Drosophila melanogaster: one gene and its partners. The main gene of each other region encodes a partner of the protein of the gene in region 2 in a complex. Each region holds a gene or a part of one and is shown on either strand. Other genes may lie near its edges. The genes, in order: Nup54, Nup98-96 and Nup153.

Evidence for each region.
Region 1: Nup98-96 (region 2) and Nup54 share a complex: the UniProt entries of both Drosophila melanogaster proteins name them as parts of the nuclear pore complex.
Region 3: Nup98-96 (region 2) and Nup153 share a complex: the UniProt entries of both Drosophila melanogaster proteins name them as parts of the nuclear pore complex.

Annotation. Positions count from the first base shown.
Region 1 is NT_033778.4:12,427,921-12,433,053, forward strand, and holds Nup54 (nucleoporin 54kD), read right to left. Parts: upstream 3,180-5,133; 5' UTR 3,017-3,179; coding exon 2,962-3,016; exon of another isoform or gene 2,940-2,961; coding exon of another isoform or gene 2,831-2,939; intron 2,770-2,830; coding exon of another isoform or gene 2,693-2,769; exon of another isoform or gene 2,675-2,692; intron 2,541-2,674; coding exon 2,034-2,540; intron 1,975-2,033; coding exon 1,608-1,974; intron 1,552-1,607; coding exon 990-1,551; intron 923-989; coding exon 581-922; 3' UTR 529-580; downstream 1-528. Other genes in the region: CG43204 (uncharacterized protein), read left to right, coding at 2,693-2,769, 2,831-2,939; DUBAI (deubiquitinating apoptotic inhibitor), read right to left, coding at 4,423-5,001, 5,059-5,133. UniProt on the Drosophila melanogaster protein: Component of the nuclear pore complex (NPC), a complex required for the trafficking across the nuclear envelope. Essential for the nuclear import of nuclear localization signal (NLS)-containing proteins in an importin alpha/importin beta-dependent manner.
Region 2 is NT_033777.3:23,775,622-23,783,358, forward strand, and holds the start of Nup98-96 (nucleoporin 98-96kD), read right to left. Parts: upstream 6,001-7,737; 5' UTR 5,544-6,000; coding exon 5,264-5,543; intron 5,204-5,263; coding exon 2,666-5,203; intron 2,587-2,665; coding exon 2,068-2,586; intron 2,000-2,067; coding exon 1,817-1,999; coding exon of another isoform or gene 1,797-1,816; exon of another isoform or gene 1,595-1,796; intron 1,487-1,594; coding exon 1,311-1,486; intron 1,255-1,310; coding exon 972-1,254; intron 913-971; coding exon 1-912. Other genes in the region: mbc (myoblast city), read left to right, coding at 6,719-6,767. UniProt on the Drosophila melanogaster protein: Part of the nuclear pore complex (NPC). Required for MAD import as part of the Nup107-160 complex and required for nuclear export of Moe probably via its association with Rae1. Plays a role in nuclear mRNA export.
Region 3 is NC_004354.4:16,597,614-16,602,364, reverse strand, and holds the start of Nup153 (nucleoporin 153kD), read right to left. Parts: upstream 3,125-4,751; 5' UTR 2,726-3,124; exon of another isoform or gene 2,642-2,725; 5' UTR 2,211-2,641; coding exon 2,052-2,210; intron 1,986-2,051; coding exon 1,470-1,985; intron 1,412-1,469; coding exon 1,167-1,411; intron 990-1,166; coding exon 1-989. Other genes in the region: CG9784 (uncharacterized protein), read left to right, coding at 4,123-4,751. UniProt on the Drosophila melanogaster protein: Component of the nuclear pore complex (NPC), a complex required for the trafficking across the nuclear envelope. Functions as a scaffolding element in the nuclear phase of the NPC.

The DNA of each region.
Region 1 (5,133 bases), on a different chromosome or scaffold from region 2:
CTCGGAAGTCTCCGCCATCAATGGCCAACAAAAAACCTGCACGGACCCTGGCTGGCTGGTTGACTGGGAGAAAACTAGTTTCCCACACAAGAAATAAATATGTAACGAGCCAACTAACTAGACTGCACATGTATGCACACGCCAGAGCACATAATAATGTTAATGTAACAACGATGGTGATACCGATGCTGGGAGTTGAACAAACTGGAACTGCCAGAGACGAACCGTTTGCCACTCATAATGAGTCCGAGCGATTGCCTTCTGCCTAGCCGTCGAAATTGGACAATTTCAGACAGTGGCCGAGGAAAAGTCGGGCGGTCCAAGAGCTGTGCGGTGCAAGTGCATTGACCCACACAATTATTTCCGCAGCATTGGCGACGAATGTGTGAACTCGTTTCGATTGTTTCGACTCCATTGCCCGTAAAAGTGCAAGTTCAAAGCTACAGGAAATGCTAAACGACGACATAATGGCAAAAGTGTAACGGCCACAACTTGTTCGTTGTCTCGATCATCGAAAATCACCGGGTTGTGTTACACATATGTGGGTTTTATTCAACGTATCAGCTCATTTCCATTCCTATCACGATTGTCGCAGCTCGGGCAGTCCTTTAATTATAACATCCAGCGCCCTCAGGTCCTTGTTGACGGTATCGCTCAGCACCTCCATGGCGCGCTGCTGCATCGTCAGAAAGGTCTTCATCTCGTCCTCCGCTTCCTTGTCGAGGGCATACTCGGCACCACCGTTGGCTGCGAATTGATTGCGCTGCATGCGCATCTGGGAGAGGAGCTCGCTGAGTCGGCCCTTGAATTGGGTGGGTGCGGAGACGACAGCCAGCATGTTCTGTAGCTTGGTGCGCAAGGCCTCCTCCTCGGGCGTCAGGGAAGTGCCCACCTTGCGGGTGCACTCTTGTTTCACTATTATCTGTGGTTGAAAAATGCGGATTTCTGAATGTAAAAATAAAGTTGGGTATTTAACTAGGTGTCCCTACCCTTAGTATGCGATGACTGAGCTCGGCCAGTTTCCGTTTATGTTCAAGTATCTTCGCTGTGGCAGTGGCATGGCGCTTCTTGAGTTCTGTCAGCTCACTCTCCACCTTCTTTATGTACAATGCATGCGTGTCCGTTTCTTGTTCCTGACACTTAACGCGCCACTTTAAGTCGTTAAAGCCCACCATGGGCACTGGTATATATAAAGTTGGATCTGGATTGTCGGAATTGGCCTGACGCCACATGCGCGGATCCACGCCGCGGGGTGGATTTTCAAGGTACTCCCTCAATTGATCTTCGTCGGGTAATACCAGAGCCAAAGCCTCCACAACACCTAGATTATTGAGCTGTGGTTTCAGCGTCGCCTGATTAAGGTAGTTTGAGAGTTCGGTGGCAAGTATACGCTTGCTTTCGTTGGGAGCATGTTGAAGTTTCTCCTCGACATAAATAACAATTTGGCACTTTTTGTTCTCCAACTCCTTGATGGAATCTATGTGAACAAGCATGTTGGGCTTGCTGCCGAATAAACTGTGAAGCGTTTGAATCACTTGTTGCTGGTGTGGCCTAAAATAAAATGAATTAATACCTATGCCATGATGTAGACAAGCACTAAGACTTACTTGACAGCTGAGAGTTCTCTGCAGAAGTTAAGAGCCACCAGTCCCAACTTGTTATCCTTGCCCGGCATACGACTGTAGCCTATGGCCTTGAACCGGCACATCACGTTCTCCGGCGTAATGTCTACCGGTGCCGCACTCTGGGAGTAAAACATTTTCCCAGTGCCCCACGTAGCCTGCAAGTAGTTCCATTTGGCCACTATTTTGTCCCGTTCATCCCCGAAAATGGATACATTCAGAATGGATTGGGCAAACGCCTCGTCAGCCGATATGGGCGCTGGCTGCTGTTGCGGCTGTCCAAGCATAAAACTGGTGCCTCCGAATCCACCAAATCCCGGCGTAACTGTTGTATTCGCTGGTTTTCCGAACGCTGAAACATAAACCAGGTTAGGAATACCACAGAAAGACAAATGGGCTTATTTAACTTACTGGATCCGAAGGCTCCGCCCCCAAAGCCAGTGGACTGGCTGGTGCCAAAGCCACCAAAAGCAGGTGCCGACGTTGTGGTTGTGCCAAAGCCTGAAAATCCACTTGCTGGCGCTGTACTCGCAGCTGCCTGTTGGCCGAATCCGCTAAAAGCTGGTGGTGCTGCACTAGTCGCTGGAGCGCCGAACAGACCGGCCTGACTTGTTGCCGGAGCTGCTCCAAATCCGCCGAAACCGCCTCCTCCCAAACCCGTGCCCGCAGTTGTGGTTGTCGCCGCACCAAATGCCGGAGTACTGCCAAAGGCGGAGCCGCCAAAGGCAGAAGTTCCTGTGGCGGCTCCAAAAGCCGGGGCTGCAGCGGTTGCTCCAAAGGCGGAACCTGCTCCGAAGGCAGAAGTCGCCGGTTGGGCGCCAAAAGCCGGAGTCGATGTGGCCTGTGCTCCGAAAGCGGGTGCTGGCTGGCTGGTTGCAGCTGTGCCTCCAAACGGCGATCCGAAGAGGCCACCGGTTGCTGAACAAAAGAGATAAGAAGACCAGAAATGGGTCAGTGTTTTGAAAACTATGCTTCTGCCTTGGATTCTTATCTGAGATTTCGGGTTCCAAAATACTACAGAAGCTGCCCTTAGTTTGCTTCAAGCTCTGGTCGCCTGCTGGTCGTGGAAAATGGCTCTGGTTTTTATATTGCTGATCCTCCTGCTAGGTTTTGTGGGATACGTCGCCTATGTGGTCCACAAGAAGGGGTGAGCATCTTTGTCTGGCCACATAAGAACACTGACACCATGTAGCCCGTCCCACATCCAGCATAGATCCCAAAGACATCCGCATCCACAGCCTGCAGGACGCCAAGAAGCTGCTGAAGCCTCCACCAAGTGGAAATGGACCCCACAAATATTTGGAGAAAAGGGCATGAGGTCTTGTTTACGGAAACTCACTTTTGGCCGGCGTGCTTGTTGCTCCCAGCGACGTGTTGGATCCGAAGAACGACATGATGCGGTATTCTCAAGGACGTTACTTTGCCGCACAGTTTGGGTTGCCTTTCCTAGGGGCCGGAATTTGTACAATTCTATTTTATTGTAATAAAATTAGTCTTAATCCTAATAAACGTAAAATTTTGGCGCTTTCTAGCAGTGTTACCAGATTGTAAATGGGCTCTCACCCTTGCTGACAACAACACTTGAATTTCCCTTATTAATTTGGTAACACTGCCGCGCGGTCTAAATTATCGATAGTCTTAGGCCCGACTTTTGATTATTAGTACGCTATAATTTGAAATTTGGCGGCAAGAAAATCAATTCGCCACTTCAATAATCCTGTCAAGTTTTTAATTCTAGTTTACGCCTCCTCTCTAATGTTTGAACTGAATATAATATCCTCCTTTCTGATCATTGCTTTTCTTTTTGATATAGTAACTTCCATGAATGGATACTATTTTTGTTGTTTTCACATTAAACTCTTTCGTGACTCTAATAATTAAACACTCTTTGGGCTTGTTCTTTTCTTTATTGATACACTTATAGCATAGCATAGTATAGATTTTGGTTATCAATAGACATACACCATATACAAATTTCCTTGAAATTATTCCAATTTAATTGCAATAACGTTCAAAATTCATCGCAACCTCTGCTCACCAGATCCAAAGAGATACATTTATATATATCAATTACAAATTCGTGTCGCACATGCGCAAATTTTTTGAAATTTGCTAAAATTAACAGTGAAACTAATAATACGATCCGAGGGTTATAGCCCGATCTATAAACGATCTCGATCTATACAAGTCAATGCCGCGATTATCTTGTTTTGTAGCTTCTTGCTAGTTCGATTGCAACTCGAGATATGATTTAATTTCGAGCTGTGCGTTAAAAACTAGGGTGCAGACATTATTTCTGGTTTAGTGTTTTGGAAGTTAGTGGTCTTCGGATTCAAGTATATCGCTCCTATTTCTGGCTAATTCTATTGTTTTTTTTTTTTTTTAATTTTTATAATTAAATATGTTTGTGTTCGCATATATGCACGTTCTACAACTAGGTTTGTGTTAACAAAAACAAAAAAATTATAACAATTTTGTAAATGGAAATACAATAATAGTTTGCGTTCGTATGAGTGGATGAGTATAATGATTTTTGGGGCAACGGGCCGAAGGATCAAGGAGAAAAGGAAGAAACAATTTAGAAAACATCGACAACAACTCAAGGAGGTAGCGAACAAGCGATCGGTAAGCGCGTTTCTCATACACTTCGATATACGTAGGCGCATATATCTCGATTGGTTGTGAACGTGCTATATATATATGTATGTAACATTTCGATTAGTATGCGCGTGTTTCATAAAGTAGACAAGTATATGTTCTAGTGGCCTCCGGTGTGCTCGCTATCCTGGCTGTCGCTTTCTCAGAAGACGAAGCGGTTGATGTTCATGCCCAGTCCATTGCCTCCACATCCTCCGGGCGGCGGCGGCGCCTTGTCGTCCTCGTCACCATCGCCATCAAAGTTGTGCCGGCTGACAAACGCATTGCCGTGACCGCTGTTGCCACGCTTAAAGCGTTGCATCTTCAACTCTTCGTTGTAAACATGGTTGTCCTTTCTTACGTAGTCGCGAAGTCGGCGTGGCAACTCCTCCAGCTTCAGAGGCGGCGACAGTGGCACCGAGACCACCTGGTCATTTGAGCCCGATACCATACTCGAACTGCAGCTGGCCGTAACCGAATTAGACTCATTGGAGTGGCCGCACATCTTGTAGAACAGGATGTAGGGCGTGTTGGGCGAAGTGAGATTGTGCATCTCCTCCGGCTTGGAGTGGGTAACCACGTTATCGTTGAACTTGTACCAATTCTTGGCTTGATCCGCCGCGAACGTAAAGTAGTGACCGGAATCCATGCTGTACCCGGCGTGAACAACACCCGCATACAGATCATAGTGCACAGTGGACATCTCCTGCAGCGAGTCCTTTGCCGACATTTTTACTGTGACCTAGCGTGCGAAATGGTTAGCTAAACTTGTAGCGGAGAAATTCGCTGCGATACTTACGCTCTCATCGTGGAACACCTTATGCATGAGCTTGGTGCGGAAGTGGTACTTCTGATCGTACTTGAACTGCTTGAG
Region 2 (7,737 bases):
GCAAATCGTAGACGGGCTTCTTGGTGTCAGTAGGTGCGTCCCTGTAGCTGGGCTTTGGGGGCTCCGCATAGCACTCTTCCGCTTGGAAGGCGTCGTTATAAGCATTGAGTGCATCGGTGATAGACGATGTTGGGGCTGTGAAATACCATAGCTGCAGGGCCAGTGCTGTCAGCCAGTTTTTATTCTCGAGTAAGTTGATGGCCCCATGTGAAGACTGCATCATTGGCGCTCCGGCGGCCAGCATGTACATCTTAAGGCGCTCCAGATCGATATACTTATCCGACTTGCTCTGCTGCCAGGCAAAGAGCTGCTCCTCCATTAATAGCCGGAAGACAGCTCCGGAACTTAATTGGGACAGCACAAGAGCCAGATTAGCATCATCGTAGCTGAAGGCCAGCTCACAAGCCTCATTTACGCGATGGCAGCTAAGTAAATCCAACATGTGCTCCAGGTAGCTGTGGGTGCTAACTTTTTTCGAGAGTAGATCTTTGCCCAGCAGCGTGTTCTCAAGCCACTCGGATAGCAGATTGCGCCGACACATGACCATGTAATGAGAGTTCTTTTCCAGGTCCACCAGTTCATCGTGATCGCCCCATAGTGCGAATAAAAGCGACCACACTGACACGCTATAGTCCTCTTTTAAGCCAGCATTTCTCTGCTTAAGAGACTCGGAGAAGTGCTTGGAAACTAGTTTCGTACCGCTATCGGGATGTATACACGGGCACTCACTACCCTCCACATTAACTGAGAGGCAGTCGTTAAGCTGAACTTCGAGATGGGGAATGATACTTTCTCGAAAACCCTCGTTGCCTTTGACCATGTTAAACTCCACCAACTGCATTACACTGGGCGACAAATCGGTGGCCGAGCGCGGCGCAAATACCATGGAGACGGGCAGGGATGGTCCAGTAACTGAAGCAAAGGGAAATTATTATAATTGGACTGCTACAGCTTGTTTCAGATATTCTTACATTCTTTTAGGTTTTGCATGTTATTATAGGTGCTTGGCAGTACCAATGAGTTTTGTGGACCAAAACTGAGCTTAAAGCTGCGTCCTTTGTAGAATCCCAAATCGGCGATCCAATTATCGCGCATCTCATAAGCGATGGACCTGGGTAGGGGAACCGTGGTGGCACGCAACTTAATCGGAGCCACTTTGGGCTTACAGACAAACTTGAAGGCTTTAGTGACAGGCATTTCAAACTTCGTTTCTTTTACAGCTGCAACAATGCTTCCAGTTGCCATCGACGATGTCTGAAATTGATCAGGATGTTTATTGGGCTTCAAAGTAAAAGGTTACGTCGATATACCTCCTCATAATGTGCATCACACATCAGGCTGGCCTCAGAGACGGAGGAAGAAATCGGCAGAGCGGGCGATGGGTGTTCAAAATCGTACTGACTGGAACTCTCGGAGGCACCATCTTTCCAAACAAGAGGTTCCACGTTGAAAAACTTGCGATGACGAAGAAGACGCCCCGTAGTCTCTGTAGAAATTTATGAGTAATTTTCAAATGTATAGTGGCCGTGTGGGATGATAAGCAGTGAATTGTTGTAATTATAATGAATTGTTGCCAAAGCAGGCAAAATGAATTGGATTTACTAACACATTTGAAAGCTTTATTAACTTTATAATTTGTGCTACCTTTTTAAACATAAATATATATATATAATACTTTTTGCAACGATCAAAAATCATTAAATATCGTTGATAATTAACAATACATATTTGCTCAAAACTAACGATTAACATTTAAACATCTACATATCTTTTACTGTAAGCAATTTGAAAGACCATCAAGAGATTATCCACCTACCCATGGGTTCGTCCTCGGGAGCATTGTCCTCCACAAAGAAGGATGACTTCATTAGCTGCATTTTGTGCGCCTCGTTGCCTACCATTTCCTGAGCCAAAACAGCTGTGGGACTGGTAATCGTTGGACGTTGACGCGGTGGATCAAACATGGAGAAATCGGAGTTGCCACCAGCTTGGAAAAATTCTGCGAATTAAAATTAAGTAAATTACAATTAATGAAACTAAACCTTTTAAAATGGACTTTAGACGTACGTGTTTTGTCCATTAAAAGGAACTCGGCGGTATCATCCATTGGCCTGAATCCGCTGGCAACACCTGCGACCAAGGCTTTTGGGTCCAAGTTACGGGCTGCATCTTCTGAAATCTTCTGCGCTTGGCGCAGCGAATTGAGCGTCATCTTTTCTGCGTTTGCCCGCTGCTGAGCCTCAAGCGTTGCAATTTTGGCTTTTTTCGGGTCAGTGGGCAACTCGTCCTCTTCGTCGCTGTCTCCCAGGCCATATTTAGAAAAGTGCTTGACGCGGAAGACCCAACTACCCGTTTCCGGGCGGTATTCTATAAAGCGCGTATCGTTTTTATCGCACACCCGGCGCAACTTGCCCTCCCAGTCCATCTCAAGCAAGCGTTGTGGGTCCTTGATGGCTTCGTGCTTGGTCTTGTCCAACGGCCATACTTGGTCCAAAGTGACCTGGGCGTCACGGTTTAGACCTTGACCAATGGGCGGCTTGTTTTCGTCGTCGGGATAAATGATAATCTCCTTGTTGCGAAAGTGGACTGTGATACAAATTGTTTTGCATTAAATAAATGTATGAGAGCAAACACAAACGGTTATAAAAAAACACAAGACTCTTACCAATCTCATCGAGGTTCAGGCCAGCCACATCCATTTCCTTGCCGAAGAAGACATTGCCGTATCCTTCCCGACCCACCGTAAAGTTCGGAACCACACAGGATCCGTCCTCGGCCAGATAGGAGCGTAGGTCGTCTAGCGATGGAATTGTATAGTAACCCACGCGTCGCAGCACAATGCCTGTTGGATGTGATTCGTCGTCTGCTGCCTCTGCAGCAGCTGCCTCAATGGCTAGGCGGGATTGGTTTGCTGCAGAGTCCTCTGCCTCATTAGATCTGTTCGAAAGCACACTCTCATTGGCCTGCTGCGAAGTGAAGGTTTCGCGACGTGCAATGGTGCTGGATTGATCCTCAAATGGATTCTCTGGGATGGTTGACACCGAGAGGCGAACGGTGGAGGATGGTCGGTATGTATCTAAAGGTTTACGTGGCACAAGCTCGTTGAGGGTGCTGTTATGGGGCGATCCCTGATCCATTCCAGTCTGAATGTTGTGCTGGCGTACCTTCTCAAGGTTGTTAGGATGCAGCCATGACTCACGGCGGCCGTTATCCTGACTTTCCCGTCCATTCGTTGCTCCAGGCGAGTTTCCAGCTGGTGGTAGCGGCTCACTTGGAATGGCTCCGCTAAACGACTCGCGTTCTTTGTTGGGAGTTGCGCCTTTGGGTCGAGATTGGGGCGTGTTGGGAGCACTGCCAATAGAGCTAGAGGGATTTCCACCCTCTACACTTTTTACTTTGGGTTTGATAACTAATCGTTTAGCACTGGGCTTCAGATTGAAGCCCTCTACAGAAGCATCAAACTCCTCGAGACCATCAAACAGCGATTTTCTATTAAGTGTGCTGCCCAGCGCCTTTACCTTCATTGGAGCAGGATTGTTGCTGGTACTTATCTTGTACTGGTTGCTGGTCAGGTCCAGAACTGCTTGTTGGGCAGCAGGATTTGTAGCTCTTGTTGCATCTGCTTCACTGCTTAGCTTTAGATCCTTGAAAATCGGAGAGTCTCCGTAGGGAGAAGTTACCCTAGCTAGGATCTGCTGATGAATGGGCTGGTGTGAAGGCGTCATGATACCCAGTGTGGGCTGAGCTCCCATAATACCACCAGTTAACGAGTTGTTTGTACCCATACCGAAGCCTCCTCCGCCCAAGGAACCACCGACACCTCCGAAACTGGTAGTTCCTCCTCCAAACAGTCCTCCCGTTGGGGCAGCACCCGTGCCACCCAAGGTTGTAGTACCTCCTCCAAAAAGACCTCCTCCCGGCTTGGCTGTATTTCCGAAAAGTGATCCGCCCGTGTTGCCTGCGTTGAAATTAAGTGGTGCTGCGCTGGTGGCTCCAAAACCTCCGAATCCGGACGTTGCTGGCTTGTTCAATCCCGAGTTAAAAAGGCCTCCTCCCGTTGCTGCTGTACTGGTGTTCAGGCCAAAATTTGAAAACGGAGTGCTAGCCGTGGAGGTTGCGCCGAAAGTTGGAGCAGCAAAGCTAGTGGCGGGCTTGTTTCCGAAAAGGCCTCCGCCGGCGGTGCTTGTTGCTGGAGCTCCAAATCCAAAACCTGTCGTGGCTGCTGATGCAGCCGTTCCCAACCCAAAGGCTGATTTATTTGGATCGGCGGCTGGTGTGGCACCAAAAAGAGTTGACTGTTGCGTTGCTCCGGCTGTGGTTCCAAAGCCTCCGAATCCTGTGTTAGTCTGTCCGAAAGCAGGAGCCGCACTGGTAGCAGGTGCCTGACCAAAGAGGCTTCCTCCCTGTCCAAAAGCAGGCTTCGCCCCAAATGGATTTGAAGCGTCAGCTGCGGGAGCGGCAAACGGAGTGGTGGTGGTGGCTCCAAAGGGCTTTTGCAGAAAGTTGTTTTGCTGGGTTGCTGCTCCGAATGCATTGTTAGTCGCCGGTTGTTGGCCAAAAGCGGTGGTGCCAAACATGCTCTTATTCTCGGTCACAGTTTGGCCAAACAGACCTGTGCTTGGTTGGGCAGTGCTTCCAAACAGGCCACCACTTGCAGGCTGAGCGGGCTGAGTAACCTGAGCTCCAAATCCAAAAGCTCCCGGAGCATTCCCAGCCTGTGGACCCTTGCGCCCGCACATATAGTCTTCCAGGCGGAGCTCCTCCAGAGATTTGCCCTCGAACTCCTTCATAGCCGTGATGCAGTGCTGCTTAGTGTTCACACTATTTGCCTGACCGCTCTTCATCAGGGTATCTGTACCAATGGTTGGCTGGTACTTGGCCACGGCCGTGCCCGTATTGACTCCGGAAGCTCCCACGGCCGTAGCCTGAGGTTGGGCAAAGGCGGAGGCGGTGCCACTGCCAAAAACATTGGTGGTTGTAGGCGCCGACGTCCCAAAGCCTCCGAATCCTGTTGTACTGGTGGCGGCAGCCGGTTGGCCAAACAAAGAGCCCGTGGGCTGAGCAGCAGCTGTTTGCCCAAAGGCCGTCATAGTCGGCTTGGCGGCTCCAAAGGCGGGTAGCGTCGATTGTCCAAAGAGGGAGGTGCTTGCCGCCGTCTGGGTGGATCCAAATATGTTCGAGGTCTGTTGCGGCTGCGAGAAGGCTGCAAAGAAGAAATTACTAAATTAGTAACATGATACCACTTCAAATGATCGTGTCTAACCTCCAAAAGCCGTGGGCTGAGCTGTGGCAGTGCTTCCAAATCCCGTGGACGTGTTTGCCCCGAATAAGCCTCCGGCGGGCTGAGCTGGTGTGGCTGCCGCACCGAACAGTGACTGCTGCGCGGGTTGGGCGGCAAAGGTGGAGGTGTTTCCAAAGGCCGGTGCGGCGGGTTTGCCAAATGCCGACTGGCCAAACGGAGTGGTTGTTGTGGTGCCGCTGAATCCGCCAAAGCTGGTGGCCGCCGGAGTGGCTCCGAAGCTGGGTTTCGCGCCGCCAAACATTTTGCTCGCTGCTGCTGCTCAGATAACAAACATATACTAGGTAGATCCCCTGCTTTGTCCTTCGCCGGAATGCCAACTATCGCGATGAGCAATGCTTCGATTTCACCACGTTGGGCAAGCTGGGGCGGCTGCGCCGGATGCGAAGGTTGTGGGACCGGACAGGCTTAGCTTAAAACAAATAAACACTCGCGAATTTGTCAAGTCAGCAGGAGTCGACCGAGTCTGACGCAAAAAGTGGACAGAAATGGCGCGCCGATTTTTTCACGATGTTGAAGAAAATGCAGCCAAAAGTGTGACCAAGGCGTGAAATCGCATGCAAAAATACACTGTAAAAAAGCAGGATACAACTGCCAGGCGCATAACTATTGACCATAACTTATTTATGGTCTTAATAAAATTTTTGCTTGGTGCCTCCGAAGCAAATTTACTATGAATGTGTGGAAAATGTATTTTATAACTTGGGTTTCTCGTATTTTGTAGGTAAGCTCGATTTTCACATTTTTATGTGACCGTACTGCGAACAAAGTGAAAACCCATTTGACATCAACGGTGTGAACACGCTGTAAGGGGCACTCTATATTTGATATTTTCGATTGGGAACAGTACGGTACTTCTGGGCATCGAGCACGCTCATTCACAACAAACAGTTGAAACGCGCGGGTTGTTTTCCGAGAGCGGTTATTTAATTAATTGGCAACTGTCACACACGAGTGTGTGTGCGATCGAGTGCGTGTACATGTGATAATTAGCTGAGCGGCAGCGGCCAACTCCCAGCCCAAATACAAGTCGAGAACAAAACGAGCGAAAAACGGCGCAAAATGCATTTGCGGAGCGACAATTTGTGCGGAATGCTAGCTTTTGTGCAATAATTATTTATTGGTTGCAATTGTCCAACCGGTGTGCTTTTCGTCGAAATCTGTAGCGAAATCGGAGGCGAAATGCTTGTGTTGGCGGCATTGTGAAAACGAAATCAAAATTTCAACTACGTGTTGCTCTTTTGCCGTTGCCTAATTTAATGTCTTGTTGTTTTTATTTTCGCAAACGAAAGTCCATCGCTTTGCATGTGTGAGTAGCGATCGTTTGTCGCCGTGTTGGTGGTAAAAGTCGGCGCAAAAACAACAATATCAGCAACAACACTAGTAGAAGCAACAACAACGAGAAGAAAAGCCTTCAAGATGAGTGTGTGGAGCGACTGCAATGCCAAGCAGGCAGAATTCGGCATTGGTAAGTTGGCAATGCGGCTATTAAGCCGATAAATTAGGTAGAATATGGCTAGGCAGGAATGTTTAAACAAAGTGCTTTGTAAACAACAATAAAGGAAAACTTTATGAACTGTTGGGCGCTCTTTTCCAGAGCACACCTCATCTCCACCCCCACCTCTCTCTCTAACTCTCTCTCTTATTTCACCGCATGTGTGTGCCTCCTGCTGCGTTGCTACGGTAAAACTTGTTGCACCTTCTCGCTTGCACACGCTCACTCGGCTGCTGTTGATCCTCCCTTTCCCGCTCTCACTGTGTTGTTTCGTTTTTCATTTCATTTCATCCTGCTCAGTCAACACTAGCATAAAATTCTGAGATTTGCTCTTGAAACTAAAACCTGTTTTCTATTGTCTCTCTCGCTTTTCATACTGTCTCTGTCTCTCACGTGCAACTGCAACACACTGCCAGAAAAAAGGCCTGGTACACATAAAGAAATTTTATACAATTAATGTAATTTTACATAAACTTAAATCTGAAGTACTACAACATTAGTACTACAACTTTTACGTATTTACGGGTGTGGGATTTGAAACCTGGTCTTTGTAAACCCAAGGCAAGCTGCATCAAGCTGACAGTAGAAATGTTTATTTTCTGTGTACACTGTGAGACAAATCCCAATTCAATGGCAGTGACCATGAAATATCTAATCGCGACCCGCTTCGAATGCGTGTGAATTTTTTATGGATCTCGTTTTGTTGACCTTTTCACCGCTGATCAATAGATACGACAGGTACATAAAGTACAGGTACCTCTAGTCCCAGGTAGATCGAGTGGAACTGGGAATCTCGTTCGTTAACACTCGAATGGAGCTTGCCGGTGTGTTTGCACTTGTTATTTACACACGTTTGCCTCTGCCTCTGCCCTTTTTTGTGTTTGCGCGTTTACTAGCTGTCGAAATCGCTGCGAGTACGAGTATCTGATAGTACCATTGGGGC
Region 3 (4,751 bases), on a different chromosome or scaffold from region 2:
TGCTTTGATGCTCCTTGATGCTGCTCCCCATTCGCTTGGCATCGATCAATGGCGTGGAGTAGCTTTCAAGTAGGTTGAGAATGCGCATCGTGGTGTTCGACAGCCCGGTACCGGGTTTCTTACTGCCACCTTGGCCCACAGATGTCTCCGCAAGACTGCCGGAGTCTGAAGGTCGCATATCTACCGCTTTCATACCGTATCCAATACCACCAGTCATGGAAGCATGCAGCTGATGCGCCGGTGAGCTGCCGGCAGAATTGAGTCCCAACATTGAGGATGCGGCGGATGAGCTAAGATTGCTGCGACTGAAGAGGCGATTGTTGCCGGAATTGCCCCCGAAGGTGGTGCGTCCCTGGTAAAAGGGCGAGCTAGAGGCAGATGCAGAGCCTGAGTTAGAGGCACTGCCACTAAGCAGACGACTGTCGCTCAGTGCCGACGTACTGCCGTATATGGACGCATTGAAGCGACGTCGTTGGGTAAGGGAATTCAGCGACCACGTAGAATTCCGATGCGATTGCTGTGCGGCGGTGTTGCTTCTGTTAAATATTGACTTGGAGCTCTGCAGATTTCCGTAAAATTCTAAATTGCTGTTGCTGTTGTAATGCGACGGACGAAGTCCGTCGTGCCCTTCACCATTGTCGTGGTATTCGTTCATATCGCTCTCGGACTGCGAATCACCGCAACCTCCTGCGGCCGCAGACAGTTCACTTCGTCTTGTTTTTGTCTCAATGACATTGTTGTTGTTATTATTATTATTATTATTGTTGCTAGTATTGTTGTTGGTCCTGCTTATTCTCAGCAAATGATTGAGATGTTCTTCCGAACTCATGGCCGGGCCAGTCCCCGTCTCATCCATGGTAAGATCGCGTCGATGGGTTTGCTTGCCTATGAGCGATGGTCGCTTGTGGTTAGGAAGGCTGGATAGGCTGTTGTTGTAGCTGGTAGCGGTGCTGCTGCCTCCGAAAGGTATGTTCAGTGAACGGCGGATGCTAAAATGATTTAAATGATTGCCTTATAATTTTCACTAAGGTTTTCTTCTTTTTCGTCTTGGCAATAGCCTGGCTATGCAACGCCCAAATTTGAGTTTGTTTGAAACGAGCTCTAAGGTAGTTATCTTTTTGAATTCCATATTAACACTTTTAGTAAGCATGACTGCAGTAACATACCTGTGTGGCAGATCCCCGGTGCTTCCCTCGGCAGCTTCGTTGCCCGTGAAAAAGTTGTACGCGGGTTCGCGCTGCCGTTGACTACCATACAAATTGAGGTGATTGCGCCGATGTGGCGCAATGTGGCTGACGCCCTTGTACATCTGGGAGCTGGAGGAGCTGGTGGCAGCCGCGAGCGGAGCAGCAGGCGTGGATGACAAAAGGGGCAGACGACGCATGTTCGGCAAATTGACGGGGGTCTCCAGCTGAAAGGGATTCAAGATTAGTTGGGAAATGTAGACAGGATTGAAGATGTGATCTTACCTCCAGGCGTCGACGCTTGGTCTGCACGGCGGCGGACTGTTGGAGATTCTCCTGCTCTTCATCGTCATCCTCCTCATCGCCATCCTCGTCGTCCTCTTCCAGTTCATCCTCCTCGGCCTCATCCTCGTCACCGCCGGCAGCTGCAACAGCCCCGGCTCGCTTGCGCAGCAGGAACACATTGTACTCGCTCCGCCGCGTCTGTTCATCCTCGGCGGCCAGGTCGTGTTCGGCTATGTTGTCGGCCAGGGCCACCTCCTCATAGTTGAGGCCTTTGGCATCGGAGCCGTCATCAAGATCATCGGCTGCATCGGCATCCACTTCGGCTAGCATTATCCGACGGCGTCCTCGTTTCCGCTTGGTAGTGAGGCGTCCATTGGACTGGCGTGGCTGTGACTGGCGGAGATTAGCTGGGGAGGATAAGGCATCGTTCCCATCTTTGGACGACGGCGAAAACCAACCGCTCAAGGAGGCGGGCAGAATGCTGGACACGCGCATCTTCATCTTCCCCATGATGGACTGCAATTGCAATTGCACGGAAGTTGGATATTTGATGGGAACCAAGTTATCGTCGACTGTACTTACGTTGTTGCTGTCAGACTCCCGTAGGGCTCCCGCCGAGGATTCATCCTCTTCCTCCTCCTCCTCCTCGCTTTCTTCAGGCAGCTCCTTGAGCGGCGTCAGCGGATGCTTTTTGGCCAATTCGGCTTGCGAGGATTCCCTTTGCTCCTGTGCATCCTCCATTATGCCGCTTTAGATTCAGACTCACCTTTTTAGCCGGCGAAGCAACGGCACAAAAGAGAGATGCAAAAAAAACGCGAAAAAGAAGCGTTGCCGCACACACAACAAAAAACGTAAGTAAAAAAAAAAACCAAAAAAAAAGCACACACTGTTGCAATTCCTGCGAGCTAGTTTGTATGTGTAGGTGCGGATAATGTTCGCTCACTCGCTTCGTTCTCACTCTCTATCCTGCCTTCTCTCTCTGTCTGTGCGTGTGCAAAGGTGTGAGTGCGCTTACGCACGCCGTCGTGGTTTTTTTTGTTCGCGTTTCGCCGAGGTTTTACACACGCCGCGATATTTTTAAATAATATTCTGTTTGGCGCCACAAACTGGTCGCGTTTGATCAGGATTTGACTTCTTGGCCACCAATGAAGAGCAAATTCTGGGCACAAGCACTGCAAAATTAGAGGCGGGAAAAAGGATTGAATACCGAATTCGGGCGAAGCGCTCGAGGTTCTTGCTTTTGGCTTTGCCCTTACCGCTTTCCAGCATGCCGCCCGTTTTCTTCAATATTTGTTTTACTTTTGCCGGATAGATTTGATATATATTTGATATATTTTCACCTTCCTTTTGTCTTTGTGCTTCTTCCACTTCTTCCGCACACACTGCTTTCGCAATTCTTCGTTCCTCTTCTTCACGCTCTGCTCACACACACACGCGCGCAGCGATTCGGTACGAATTTTGGCGTTTTACCGCCGCGAAATCCACACTTTTAATTGCAATTTAACATTTGCCGCTGGTCGCATTCAGGTTTTCCATTGTTGCACGAGAACACGCACCACCGATTTGCAAGAAACAGAATTTCAAAAGAGCACGATTTGATTGGGGAAAAAACGCGTGTGTGGCCACAAAGTAGAGCTGGAACCAAAATCGATGTTTGTCAGATACTATCGGCGTGTCGGGCAGCGTGTGCTAATCGATACGTTGCCTGCAGCTATCGGTTACATGCACGTTTACGGTTTGGAAGTCTGTAATTATTAAATATTTTTAATTGGTGATGAACTGCCATACGGGCTTATTACTCAAGAACCGCTTCAAGTGCGACTTATAACATATGTAACCATTTGCTTGTGTTGTCATTTGAATACTAAGCATTTGCATTGACTAAAAGGAATTCTCGTTTGTATCTTTAAGTTGGAGTGAGGTATTTGTTTAGGTTTTTACTTGGCTGTGTGATAATGCAAAAGTTTAAATACTGTACTAATGTTAATCGATAGTTGTCCTAAAAAGAATTTCCAGCGAGTTAAAATTCAGCGAGTGCTAGAGTGACCACAGATTCTGCATTAGAAATAAAGCAAATATAATAAACGAACATAATATGAGCGCCAAATATAAAAGCCCTTATTAAGGTGCAAATATGACAAAGAAATTATACAGTATAAATGTTAAATAAATCTTAAAAAATGGGTTATAGGGGAAACCATATTGTTTTGGTTCAATTTTAGCAAGCCATTTTAAAACAACTTGAATTTACTACTAGATGAATCAAATATGTTACCTCTTAACGTCTAAGAAATTTACATTTTTAGGGCTGGAAAATAAATACCGCTAGTCGATATCGTCATCTTCTCAGTTTTGCCATCCCTAGTTGTTGTTATTGTGTTCGTCGTGTTGTTGTAGCACAGTTGTTGTTGTTGCTGCTGCTGGGCAAACAAGTGTTAAAAACTATTTGTGCTGCAATATTTTCAGCAATTACCGACCGCCCTCGCCGCTGTTCACCACCCAACTTAACCAGCAACCCAGATTGGAGCAACAAAATCCACAAAGGCATAAAGAATCGACTTACACAATAAAACCTTAATCGGTTGGGTAAACAACTTGATTGCTGTGAGCAGCCAGTTGGGTTAATCTCTTCGATTTGTCAAGTCCAGCAACAATGAGCCAAACGGAGGCTAGCAAGACACCCAAGATTCCGGACTCGGAGCCGGACGGATCGAAGGGCAAAGGGAAGCAACAGCTGGAAACTTACCGGGTATATGTGGTCACCTGGAATGTGGGCAGTCGATTTCCGGATAACATATCCCTCCGCCATCTGCTGGGACTGCAGGATGTGACGGTGGATAAGGACACGAAGGAGACTAATGCCCACTTGCCGGACATCTATGCGTTGGGGCTCCAGGAGGTCAATGCCCAGCCGCAGCAACAGGTGTTGGGACTGTTCAAGGAGGATCCGTGGACGCACAAGGCTAAGGAACTGCTACGCAACTACGACTATGTGGCCGTAAAGACCGAGCAGATGCAGGGGCTGCTGCTCAGCATGTTCGTGAGGCGGCAGCACGTTGAGCACTTGCAGGACATCGAGGCGGAGTTCACGAGGACCGGTTTCGGTGGCATTTGGGGCAACAAGGGCGCCGTCAGTGTCAGGTTCACCCTTTACGGCTGCGGACTGGCCTTTGTGGTGGCCCATCTGACTGCCCATGACCATATGATGGACGAGCGCATCGAGGACTACAAGCAGATACTGGAGAACCATCACTACCACGTCAAGCGGTATAGGGAGATCTA